2 linked regions of the Daphnia pulex genome follow. The protein of the gene in region 1 interacts with the protein of each later gene in a biochemical or structural test. Links are inferred from orthologs where the notes say so. Each region holds a gene or a part of one and is shown in the gene's direction. Other genes may lie near its edges. The genes, in order: homeobox protein extradenticle-like and homeotic protein Sex combs reduced-like.

Region 1 (6,619 bases):
TGGAATCTGGAATGGAATGGAATCTGGAATGGAATGGAATCTGGAATGGAATGGAATCTGGAATGGAACGGAATCTGGAATGGAATGGAATCTGGAATGGAATGGAATCTGGAATGTAATGGAATCTGGAATCTGGAATGGAATCTGGAATCTGGAATGGAATCTGGAATGGAATCTGGAATCTGGAATGGAATGGAATGGAATCTGGAATGGAATGGAATCTGGAATCTGGAATGGAATGGAAGGTAACAATATCCAGAAGTAGAAGTAAAGGTAACAATATTTTGTATTGCACGACAAAGTTTCTTAGAGTAAATAATTACAGAATTAACTTGTAAGTTGTAAGCACAGCATATATAACTTAATTATTTCTTAGTAGTAAACAATTCTGTGTATGTTAAGCAGTAAAACAAACTTTGGGTGAGACAAAAGGAAAATTTATTTATAGTAGGACTACTACACAAACAAATTTTTTATTGTATGGTATGATTATGAACACAGCAAGTAATAGATATGAATATAGATGTCTTGACGTTTCTTCCCGAAATCTGGGGGCCAATAGGCCCGACCTTCTGTTTAGTCTTCGACCCTCGGTTTAGGTTAAGGGGATTTTAGTGTGTAACATTTATAGGGTTCTTTTTCCACGAACGTGCATTATTTTGTGTCCAATGATTATTTTATTTCTAATTTAGATTTATCTGAAGAACTGAATTTCATGAGGCCTTGTGGACAAGAAAAACGGAACTTAGACCTCATCACTCTCCGGCCTCTTTATTCACGTGAAAATCCCAGTGAAGAATGGACGGTAAAGTCACGAGTTTGCCAAGCTTTCAACGCGCTTCAACCACATTCAAAACCGAAGAAAAAACAAATGGCAATCTGAACTGGTTGTTCAGACATATAACAGCCGATCAAAGGATTCATCCCATCGAAAACGATCAGCAGAATCGGTGAGCGATGTGTCAGAGGAGAAAAGACCTCCGTGTCGAGGAAGGCGCACTAATCCTAAATGCGACTTCCAAGTAATAATCGAAGAAAATCCTATGACTATCGATGACAACTGACAATTCCCAATTTCTACTCAACAGTCGACCAGCGAGGAGAAATAGGTAATGTCGTTGACAAAACCTAGACGACGCCCTGGTCAACCACGGCACCACGAAAGGTGAAGAAAACTTCCGGGTAAAATCGGTAAAATACTTAAATTCTTTCGGGTTGCTATTTTTTTCACAAGCAAAGACGATGTGTTATTGTGAGTGTTGACAGTTGACTTGTTTGAATTCTAAATTCAGAGACCAAAGTGTGATGCTGCTTAAGCACGGACTCTGTATTTAAAATTGAACAAAACCTTATTGAAAAGGCTATTTTTAGATTTAATATAATGTAGCTTTTTTTAGACTTTTGTAGGTCATACGCTATTTTGATCTCTTTTTTTAAATGAAAAAAAAATCGCAAATATCCCTTCGGGTACCTTGCTAACGCAGGTAGCTGACAATTCACCATAGGTTTATCTGAAAATGCGCTAGGTGTCTCTGATCGTTCAAGTGTTATTCAAAAACTCTTCTGCACTTTTTTTGTGAAGACCTTTTCTTTTCCTAAAGAGATTAAATTGAAATTGATTACAATGCTCAGTTTAAGGCATTTTCAGAAAATTAGAAGAATTAAGGTAATTTGGTTTATAGCTTCAAAACTGTGTTTTTCAACATTCATTTTCTGCTACTATTCAGACATGTACACAAAATTACGTAAGACGATCAGCCTCAAGCTATGGGCAAAGAAATGCTGTAGATATCGGAATTCACGGTTATTCGTTATTGGTAAGATAATCGATTTTAAAAATAAAACGTACATATAGTTCTTTAACAAAAAATTGATCCAATAAATGTAGGCTATTCCAGCCATCACTTTCGGCCTTGGGACCTGGCAGATTTTCAGACGTCAGTGGAAACTTGGTGTTATTGATCATCTTGCCAGCAGAACGTCTGCACCACCAATTCCATTTCAGTCTACAGAGTGAGACTGATACAATTCTTTAACTCTACCCTTTTATGCATATTTACACCAATGCTCTACAGTATTGAAGGGCTATCTGACATGGAATACCGGAAGTTTGAACTCCATGGAAAATTTGAACATGACAAAGAGATTTACATTGGGCCAAGATCACTGGTTGGAAATGAAAAAAATGAAGGTGGTGGGATGTTGTCTTCAGGGCAGAGTGGCTATTTAGTCATCACTCCATTTAAACTATCAGATTCCAAGTAAGACATTCAAACAGTTAATTTTCTCAATTTTCTACAAGTTACTTTTAGTCTCACAGTTCTTGTAAACCGCGGATGGATTCCTCGTAAAAAAATGAATCCATTCACCAGACTAAATGGACAAAGAGAAGGCGAAACAAAACTGATTGGAGTGTACCGCTCTAATGAAAATCGCCCCCAGTTTGTACCCCAAAATCAGCCCAAAGACCGCATGTTTCATTTCAGGTAAAGACAATTATATTTTTCGCAAAGTTAGATAACTTCATATATATTGCGTACAGAGATGTGGAGGGAATGGCTCGGCTTCTAGACACTGCGCCAATTTTCTTTGACGCGGACGCTGATAGCACAGTACCGGATGGACCTGTAGGTGGACAAACAGTTGTTACTGTTAGAAATGAACACGTTTCGTACATTTTAACGTGGTATTCATTATCAATTATCACAGCATTTTTGTGGCATCGACGATTTATCAAGAAAATGCCTCTTATGTAACTTAAATGTATTTATCTTCATAGAGGTTAAAGTCAAATTAATACATTTTAACATCAAACATCATTATATTTTTACTCTTGTTGCGTTTTCATTTGTAAAAATAAAATTTTAATTAATAAAATTCAAAATAAAAAATAAATACAGTATCGCGAGTTTCTAGTACATCGATTATTGGCTTACCCGATATAATTATCGATACTTACCTTTGTGATCGCGTTCTCGCGTCTTTTTTGCTTTGTCCCGTCGATAATCTCGGCGATCTCTGGTAATTATTTTATGAGCCTTTGAGAAATGTGATTCAGTCTGTTTGAATACTAAACAACTCGTGAATTCCCGGTTTCAAATTGTGTGTCAAGTCAGTAAAGAAAGTTTTTATTCTAATTGAAAGAAATACGCTACGCAAGCAAACTTCTCTTCCATGGCGGACGCTTGTCGCCTTGGGCATTTTATAAGACGTTGGCATTTTTATATTAACCGAAGCCAATTTTTGTTATTTACGATTGCTTTCTTGCAATACTAGTGCTTTGTTGTGTCTAGTACATTTCATTTTATGTTTACATTTCATGAAATCACATGTATGGATGTTAGTAAACGGAAAGTCATTGTTTACAGGGTCTTTATTGCCAGGTCCTGTAGCCTGAAGGCAATACGTTTTGTGCAGTGACATTGGAAGATTTCATTGCTTTTGATGGATGATCCAAATCGACTTATGCATCCTGTTCCAGGTGGCCAGGTTGGACTAATGCATCAGCCACCGTATGGGTTACCTCCTGTCAATGTCGGAGTCAATGTTGGGGTTAACATGGCTTCACTTGATGGAGGGAACCAAGACTCTGAAAATATGACTGGACGAAAGCAGGTGTGTACAATTCCATTTCCAAAATCTTTTTTTCCTTTTAAGTAAAACTTCTTTTTTTTTAGGATATTGGAGAAATTCTGCAACAGATCATGAACATCACAGACCAGAGTCTTGATGAAGCCCAAGCACGCAAGCATACCCTGAACTGTCATCGCATGAAACCTGCTTTGTTTTCTGTCTTGTGTGAAATCAAAGAGAAAACTGGTAACCCTATTTCAATATGAATCCAAGTGATTGAATGGTAACATTAAATTGTGCTCTCACTTTAGTTTTGTCGCTACGCAACACGCAAGAAGAGGAGCCTCCAGATCCGCAACTCATGCGGTTGGATAACATGTTGATTGCTGAAGGAGTAGCTGGTCCTGAAAAAGGAGGTGGGGCCGGTGCTGCTGCCAATGCATCAGCTGCAGCGTCTCAAAGCGGCTCAATGTCGGACTCGGCTATTGAACACTCTGATTATAGGGCTAAGTTGGCACAAATTCGTCAAATTTACCATCAAGAGCTTGAGAAATATGAGCAGGTACACATTTTTAGCAATGCTTATTTTTTTATTGGACCTCTATGACAAGAAAATGGAGAATAACCATTTCATTTTTACATCCGCTTTCAGGCTTGCAGTGAATTCACCACCCATGTTATGAATTTGCTCCGAGAACAATCCCGTACTCGTCCGATTACACCCAAGGAGATTGAGCGGATGGTTCAGATCATTCATCGCAAGTTTAGCTCCATCCAAATGCAGCTGAAGCAAAGCACTTGCGAGGCCGTTATGATTTTACGATCTCGTTTCCTCGACGCCAGGTAAATTTTGCTATTTTTTTAAGGTTTGACCACGCCCATTAAAGGTGTTGTTCTATCGATGTCTTCATCATGTAGGAGGAAGCGGCGTAACTTCAGCAAACAAGCTTCTGAGATCTTGAATGAGTACTTCTACTCGCACCTAAGCAACCCCTACCCAAGTGAAGAAGCCAAAGAAGAGCTCGCTCGTAAATGTGGGATCACCGTTTCACAGGTTAATTTCTTTTTAAATCCTTTTAAGAGGAATAAGCGCATTAATGTTTTGTTATTTTTACAAAAAAGGTTTCGAATTGGTTCGGTAACAAACGAATTCGTTACAAGAAAAACATTGGAAAAGCCCAAGAGGAGGCCAACCTGTATGCTGCTAAAAAGGCCGCGGGTAGTTGTTTCCACTCTGAGGATTTTCAAATCCTCGTATTACCGGAGCGATTCTAATTTTCGTACTTTTTCTTTCTCGTTAGGTTCCTCGCCATACAGTATGGCTGGAACTCCCGGACCGATGATGTCGCCTCAACCTGGTGGTCCTGAACTCAGGGGTCCACAAGATTCCTTAGGCCCGTACGGTGCTATGGGACTCAACGGTGGTGACTTTCCTTCCTCCATGGGCGGCCAAGTAAACTACTTTTAATGACTTAACTAGTGGTATCTCAGCATATTAATTAATGTAAACGTGTTTGTAGGGCTATGGCGATTCATCGATGGGTTATGATCCAAGTATGCATCAAGTGAATTCACCCTGAGGGGTGGACGAGTGCCCCTTCTCCTCCTCCACCCTATTTCTCGGCAAATCAACTCTTAATTTACTAACTTCATCAGATCTTGATCATACTGTGCGTTACAAGCTATCTTCAGCTGTTCGATTAACTCGTTCTAACCCATCTCGTACTCCTTCTTTTGTCCCTTCCTCTCAGTGCAGCTTTGTTGTTTCGTCTTGATAGAAAATGTTTCTGTGGATCACCTCGATCGGTGCTTGTTTTTTCTCATTTGTTTCAGAAACCTCTGTAGTTTTAATCGCTTTTGCGTATAGTTGAAACCGTCGATGTAGTCGTTATCGTTTTTATTTGACAACTAGAAGTGAACCGAACATCTCCGATTACAATCACGTACGCTCTCCCGTCACCGAAAAAACGATCATCAGTATTCTCGAAAATCCACATCCCACGGACCCGAGTCCTATTTCTAAAAAAACAAAAAAAACACAAGAATTCCCATCAAGTTTGCGTTTTAACTGAAAAAAAATACTTTTCTTTTGATATGGTGGTGGAACCGAATGCAATTTTTGGTATTAGAATATTTTGCAGTTCCTCCTCTGTCCTATAAAAAAAATGACTGGCGCTTTGAAGTGAAGCTCAAAATATTTCTTTCTCGTTGGTACGTTTTTATATTATTTTCCACTAATCCGTGTCTCCTTTTTAAACACTATATTCATCTGTTCACCGCGCAAATCCTTGCCATGAAATCATGTACAACCAATACATCCATTTCTAGGTGTCAACGTTCTTATTTTTTTCTCATTATTTTTTGAATGTTTTCAAATTTCAACCATCCCGAGGGTTGATGATGCAGTTCGTGTATCAGCGGCTCAGCGCCTTTCAGTGGTAGCAGATTTACATGTTGCATTTCGTGGAAGAGTGGTAGCAGACGGCAAATCTCTGACGTATTGTAGTCTGCTAACTTCTTTATTTTCTTTTCACTTATTTTGCTGCGCAAATAACTTGATTACGAACCGTTTTTGATTATCTACTACTTACCTTCTGTTTTAAAAGTTCTTGCTTCTCATAAACGGCATAAAATGTCATCAGCACGCCTTTTTTCTCGGGCTTTAGTGAACATAATTTCAATGCCTTCAAATATCTGTCTTCATAGTCGTTATTGTTCAGAAGCTGCTGTTAAACTAGGTATGATTCAACTTCATGTAAATATGTAATGTTAAGAAATGTTTGTGTTCTGTCTGGAATCTTGGAATGAATTCTTTGTCATTTTCCAGGCTCTATTGATTTTGAATCAGTGAAAGCTGGACTAGATAAGAAGAGCTTGACATACATAGATGTTCGTAATAGAAGTGAATTGCAAAAGGATGGCACGATTGTAGGAAGCTTCAACATTCCTTGTAAGAATTTAGTAGAAAGATTAATTTTAATAAGTGACTTCAATTTTGAGAAATTAACAGTGCCAGAGGTAACCAATGCATTTGCCATGAGCCCTG
Region 2 (6,023 bases), on another chromosome or scaffold:
CCAGCTCCAACTATTAGCAACAAGTCCTCCTCCATAGGCCTAAACAGCTACACTTTTTTTTTTTTTAAACAAAATCTAACTTTTTTGGGGGTAAATTTCATTCCTGGAATGCGAAAAAGGTTAAAAAAAAAAATCAGATCCAGGTATTTTATTACAAGCCAAACCCTATTTGAGACTCGTGACGTAATAAGACCGCGCTTGCCGTCATTCCGCCGCATAATGATGATGATGATGTGCCAATCAACTGGTCATTAAAGTCTCTTCCAACATCAATCACTCGTCATCTGTGTTGTATAACTATTCCCGCTTGACTCGGATTCAAAGAGGAAAAGGTAGTTGTTTTGTGTAAAAGACGCCGCCAGTGTATAGAAAAACGCGTGCTTGGAATTCAACCAGTCTCTACGCTATCTCTCCACCGGCAAGAAAAGTCGAGCGCCGCATGGCACGGAGCGCACACTCGTACGACTCGAGCGAGGCCTAAAATCCTCCCCTCTTTCCCCGTATATTACACAATAGAGCCAGAAAGACTGTGTTGAGAGTACTTCTCATTCCATCTCCGCCTCCTTGCGACTCCATCAGTGCTCCAGTAGATTAACAGCAAATTGTGCATTCACATCAGCGGTCGCCGACGTTGGAACGTGGGCGTTTATCGGTTCCTCGATAGATTTCCGTGTACAAGTTCCATTGACAATTCTATTCGTGTACCTACGGGACCATAAGCACATAATCTAATTGATAACCCAGTAAATGCACCTTTTTATAGTTTCTTCCCCTTTTCTTCCCAGTTATCGAAAAAAGCCCAAAAATGGGAAAAGTTCAACGTCCACTGTTTCATTTCCAATTTGTTTAGCTCCGACGAAAATTTCCATTTTGAAAACTTAAAAGAAAGAGAGCCCCCCCCCCCCCTTTTTGAGTAAATTTGCAAATTGCTGCCGGACTTTACACAGTAACACACACAAAGCCGCCGTGTGTACTGTTAAAGTGATAAAAGCTAGCCACAGAGGCAAATAAGCAGCAGCAGCAGTGGTGAATTTGAACTATTGTAATGAAAAGGAGCTGCTCAGGAGGGTGAAAGAATAGAACTAGGATAGAAACCGTTTACAATTTCTCATATTTGAGAAAGAGTCTGGAAAAAAAAAAGACTGGGGGGTTCGAGGGGGTGACTTTTAAGACATTGAAATGGAAACCAAAGTTTCCGGAAGCTGGTACTTTTTTTTCTCTCGTCGTAAACGTGTGCGCAGAGGGTCTTATGAATTTCATTTCCCTTCTTTGAAAAGGTTGACAACCCAGCCCCCTCCCCCAACCCCACGTAAAACAAGAGGGAAGAAAAAGTAAGGAGATTGTCACGACCAAAGAAGAAAAAGAAGAAGAAGATGAAGAAACCGAGAGTTTCTACTATAGTTCCAGCTCAGTTTGGTGGTGCAGCGCACCACTCAACCACGTATAACCCGGCATCTTTTTTTGGCGAAGTACCGATAGCGGACGATTGGTACACACACATGCGCCGCAATGAGACACCCAAAACGCTTTCGCCGGCGTGTCCATTCCGAGACTTATAATAGAACAAAAAGATGCAAACCACCACCTCACCCCCCTTTTTTGGTTTTAAAGAGTCCCACTAACAGAACGTTCATGCGCGTCCGGCTGTGGCCGGTGCATGTTGCACAACGTGGGGCATTTACTATTATTATTATTGAAAAAAAAAAACAACCATAAAACGGAAGCGCACGCACCTGTGCGATGTGACTGCGCATTTCCTGTTCTTTCTCTTCTGCCGGTTCAAGTCGTCATCTGATTACGACGTATTGACCGTTGGCTGGAAAAAAACCGACAGACTTTCCGGAAGTTCTGCAAAAGAAACAAAAAAAAAAAAAAAATTGACATTTTAGGCATTTTTCAAATTTTAAACAATTGAGCGAACAAGGGAAAAAAAATTGAGTGAATTAATTGGCGAATTATTTATTTTTTTGTTTTTGTCCAAATAGACGCAGTCAACGCTAATGGAGAAACTAAGCGCCAGAGGACGTCGTACACGCGCTACCAGACACTGGAACTGGAGAAAGAATTCCACTTTAATCGCTACCTGACCCGAAGGAGACGGATCGAGATCGCTCACAGCCTCTGCCTGTCTGAGCGGCAAATTAAAATTTGGTTCCAAAACCGGCGCATGAAATGGAAAAAGGTTGGCGCCGTTACACACTCTTTAAATATAAAAGCGAATAATCTCGTTTGAAAGTATAAGGCGATATATTTACTTTTTGTTTTTTGTTTTTTTGTCTTTCTTGTTTGTTTGAAACCAAACTTTCGCTTTCTCAATTCGTCCCTTCTTTTCTGGCTATCGATTTTTAACGAGCAATTATTCATTTTGATGATGCACGATACAGGAGCACAAGATTGCCACTATGAATATGATGCACCAGCACCCCATGATGTACCACGCTCACCATCACCATCATCATTTAACGATGGCCGACTTGACTGGTAAATAAGACAAGACCCCAAAATCGGGGTCGTGTGCCACAGTTATAACCATTTTGAAAAAAAAAGACGAAACTAAGTTCTAACAAAAAACGATCTACAATTTTTCTAACATTTTGTTCGTTGTACAGGTGATCACAAGATATAGCTAGCGCAGGACGTTGGGTTCTACCCTACTAGTACACCTGTAGGACCCGGCGACTACAATTACCACCAATACGGATCGTCACCAGCCTCCACCCAATAACGGATGGAAAGCCCAGCACAGACAGATCATTAGGAGAAGAAAGATGGATAGAAAATGGTCGACATTGTGTCGAGGCGCTAAACACTCTCTAAGTACTCTAAAAAAAATCTTTGTGTTGCTATAAAAACATTTTTTGCATGTGACTTTGATTGTACAAAATTCTAAACAACAACAAACAACAAGACAAACAACACAATCGACAAGACGAAGAAGAACACTCTCCCGCAAGGATTGTTTCCTTCATCCATAAGAATTCAATGAAATCTTCGATCGAGAACAAAAACTGGCGGCCGCAAACAAGTGAGAAATGAAAAATGAAAAAAAGGCCCCACCCGATGTTCCAGTGTGACTTTGTGTGTGCGGTACGATATTATACATATTCTAAAAACCTCTTTCCCGTTGTTCCTCATCGTCGTCGTACTCTATACTCCTCCTCCTCCTCTCTTCATCTGCCTGTGTAAAAATAATACCGGTATATGTGCAAGTGTTTCATGCGCTGCGTGTGCCCATTGCAAACAATTTTCTGCCACCTCCTCCCCTTTTTTCCATAATTTATTATTATTATGCCATGTGGATGAGTGTGTATAGAGAGCCATCAATATTCATTCGACCCAAAAAAAAAAGAGAAATTTCGGTGGACCGCTGAAGCTGGATTTTGTAAAAAAAAATAAAAATAATGTGACGCTTTCCGATTCATAATTGGATCACTTAACGGTCGTACCTAAGATCGTTAATAATCCACGGGAAAATAAAATGGGAAAACAAAGCAAAAACGAGAAAAATGTATTACAGCTGCGCAAAAACATGACGGCTCACGTTCTCCCTCACCCTTGCGCGTCTGTTTTCGACTCATCTTTATGACTGTCTCCTTTTTCTCTTTCTCTCTCTCTCTCGCTACTTATTGTTCTTGTATTGCACACACTTGCGACAGACACACACAAACAGATAGGGACGGCCAGCTTTCATCTCGTCTTCGATTATACATAGAGTACATACACCCACGTACACTCACAAACACAAACACAAACACACACACACACGTACACACTGGCTGTGTTGAACTGAACTTCTTGACGATGTGCCGACTTGTTTCTCTTTTTGTCCACTTTGCGTTTCTCTCCAGTTTGCAAATTCGAAAGTGTCGTCTCTTTGTTTTCCCCCCCTCTCAATGTCATCATCGTGTTCTGCTTTGAGTTGCCCTTCGTTTGATTGCCAATCGTGTGTGTTGACTTTCGTTGTACGCCGTATTACCATTATTACTATTAAATAGTTGTTTGAAATGTGTTTGTTTTTTTTTGCCGGTTTTTCAGTCCATGATTTTCGACGACCCTAAAAGTCGCAAGCAAAATCATCCTATATAAATGCAAAATTCTTTCTATTATTTTGGTTTTTCACTCCTTGACTCCTTCCCCGCTATTTTGGGTGTGTCCTTTTTTGTTTTACTCTTTTTTCCATCCCCCGAAAAAAAAAATATTATTCAATATTATGTGTGTGTGTATGTATTCATTTTGAGCGTTGTTTTATTGCCCCATAATAATTAATTATAATAATAATAACAATTCCGAGTATCGTGCAAGACATTCTCGTTCTTTCCTTTGCTTCTCGGAAAAACCAACCAAACCGAAATTGAAACGGATCGAAAGCGGAAGGGCAACGGGTTGGTTGTAAATCGACCCTCATCCAGCCGTCGACTATTTCCGTGAAGGCTCCGTCAGCACGGACGCGATTGCTGGGGGTTGATTTGAGCAAAAGAGTAATGAATGGAATGCCAGAAGTTCTACAGGTATTCAGAGACAAATAGAATGTCCCGTCGTACTAAGAAAAAATAGGGAAAAAAACAAAACAAAACAAAAAAAAGAAAAAAGAGTCCCGTGCGGATGCGGTCAGTGTGAGATGAGAGAGCGCGAGCGAGCAGCCAGATCTCTCTCTCTCCATATCGTAACGTCGCTGCGGCCCTGTTTTGTCGTGTGCCCGTCTGTGTATTTAGTGGTAAGACTCTAGTCGCTTTTAAACCAAACAGCAGAAGCCAGAGTCTCGGCTTGTTTTCCTGCAAGTCTGTTTTTACTTGGTCCACTTTCTCATGTGCGCGCTCGGGCCTTGGCTGCACCACAACGAGCCAACAGATACAACCCGTGAAGTTTCAATGCGAGCGGCGACAAAAGTCTCGACGAAAGACAACTCGACAGATGCTGCAGCTACCCGTGTTGGCCGCCTATATGCCACACTCTCTCTCGGCCGAGAAAGAAGAAAACACAATCACCAGGCCGATGACACCACTTGTCTTCCGCTTTCTCTTCATTTGACTTTGTCCTGTTGTGACCAGAGAAACGGAGGGGAAGACCAAAAAATTTCAAAAAATAAAATAAAAACAGGAGCGATCCTGAAACGCGATGACCAAGTGATCACGTTGCTCTTCCAATGTTTGTTGGTCGGTTTATTTTCACAAACAAAAAAATCGTAAAAAGAAAATCCAACCAACATTTTGATGTTTTGAAAGGGGCGTAAAACACGCGCGCACGTAAGCAGTCAGTGTATAAATACGTCGAGATATATATCCTCGTATATTTAAGGAAGTGCTGGGCAGGAAAAAGGAGAAAAACCGAACAAGAACAAGCCCTGCCAGGGTGGTGATGAGTGCCGGCTTATTTGCGGTGCTCCTACCCCTGTTGTTGGACAGTACACAATAACATCCTCAACAACCGCACAAGAGAGAAACATTCACCACGCAACCCGACCATCGCTCTCTCTCTATACATTGCCCTGTTAGATTGCAGCGACGGCGCTTACTTTTCATATTGGATATTATTTGTGGCCCTCGAGACAAAAGAGAAAGAGATCATTTAGCGGGTAAAATCGGATAACCACAAAATAAACGGGAACCGTATTTAGAGATGGAGGGGGTGAAATCCTCCCGCTCTAGATATAATAAAACGCGATGACCAGGAAAGTAATTGATGTGACATCCTATCGTCCGATCAGGAAGAGGATCGCAAAGAGACAAGAGGTTGAATAATTAAGGATGAGACAAGCCGAAAGGGAGACGAGCGCGTCGCCACGACGCCATGAATAAGAAAACAAGAAACGAGAGAAAGAAAGAAAGAAAGAACAAAAGCAGGAAATTCTCATCCATGGCACTTAGTCGTACTTATAAAATCGTATAATGAATCGTTTCCAGCGCGACCAATTTCTCTCCTCCCCCCTCCCTATCCGTCCGAAGACAATCTATTTTCAGTCAGCAAGCGCCTCTTTAATTTCCCAACTTTTTCCAGGATGCGTTCCAGTGTGTGCCCAGGCAAAA

The links.
Region 2: the proteins of homeobox protein extradenticle-like (region 1) and homeotic protein Sex combs reduced-like are reported together in a solved structure, tested with the Drosophila melanogaster proteins (2 studies listed by BioGRID, with this or other methods). The link is inferred for Daphnia pulex from reciprocal best matches to the Drosophila melanogaster genes exd and Scr.

What each region holds. Positions count from the first base shown.
Region 1 is NC_060023.1:11,354,492-11,361,110, forward strand, and holds homeobox protein extradenticle-like, read left to right. Parts: upstream 1-2,934; 5' UTR 2,935-3,021; exon of another isoform or gene 3,022-3,111; intron 3,112-3,368; 5' UTR 3,369-3,444; coding exon 3,445-3,615; intron 3,616-3,677; coding exon 3,678-3,819; intron 3,820-3,884; coding exon 3,885-4,135; intron 4,136-4,225; coding exon 4,226-4,416; intron 4,417-4,491; coding exon 4,492-4,627; intron 4,628-4,695; coding exon 4,696-4,795; intron 4,796-4,874; coding exon 4,875-5,026; intron 5,027-5,093; coding exon 5,094-5,153; 3' UTR 5,154-5,908; downstream 5,909-6,619. Other genes in the region: surfeit locus protein 1-like, read left to right, coding at 1,625-1,666, 1,728-1,817, 1,889-2,013, 2,076-2,261, 2,313-2,486, 2,543-2,756; rhodanese domain-containing protein CG4456-like, read left to right, coding at 6,206-6,311, 6,401-6,523, 6,584-6,619. UniProt on the Drosophila melanogaster protein: Transcription factor which acts with the selector homeodomain proteins altering the regulation of downstream target genes such as wingless (wg), teashirt (tsh) and decapentaplegic (dpp), thus affecting segmental identity.
Region 2 is NC_060024.1:12,425,613-12,431,635, forward strand, and holds the end of homeotic protein Sex combs reduced-like, read left to right. Parts: intron 1-1,733; exon of another isoform or gene 1,734-1,848; intron 1,849-1,985; coding exon 1,986-2,182; intron 2,183-2,384; coding exon 2,385-2,481; intron 2,482-2,609; coding exon 2,610-2,626; 3' UTR 2,627-4,303; downstream 4,304-6,023. UniProt on the Drosophila melanogaster protein: Sequence-specific transcription factor which is part of a developmental regulatory system that provides cells with specific positional identities on the anterior-posterior axis.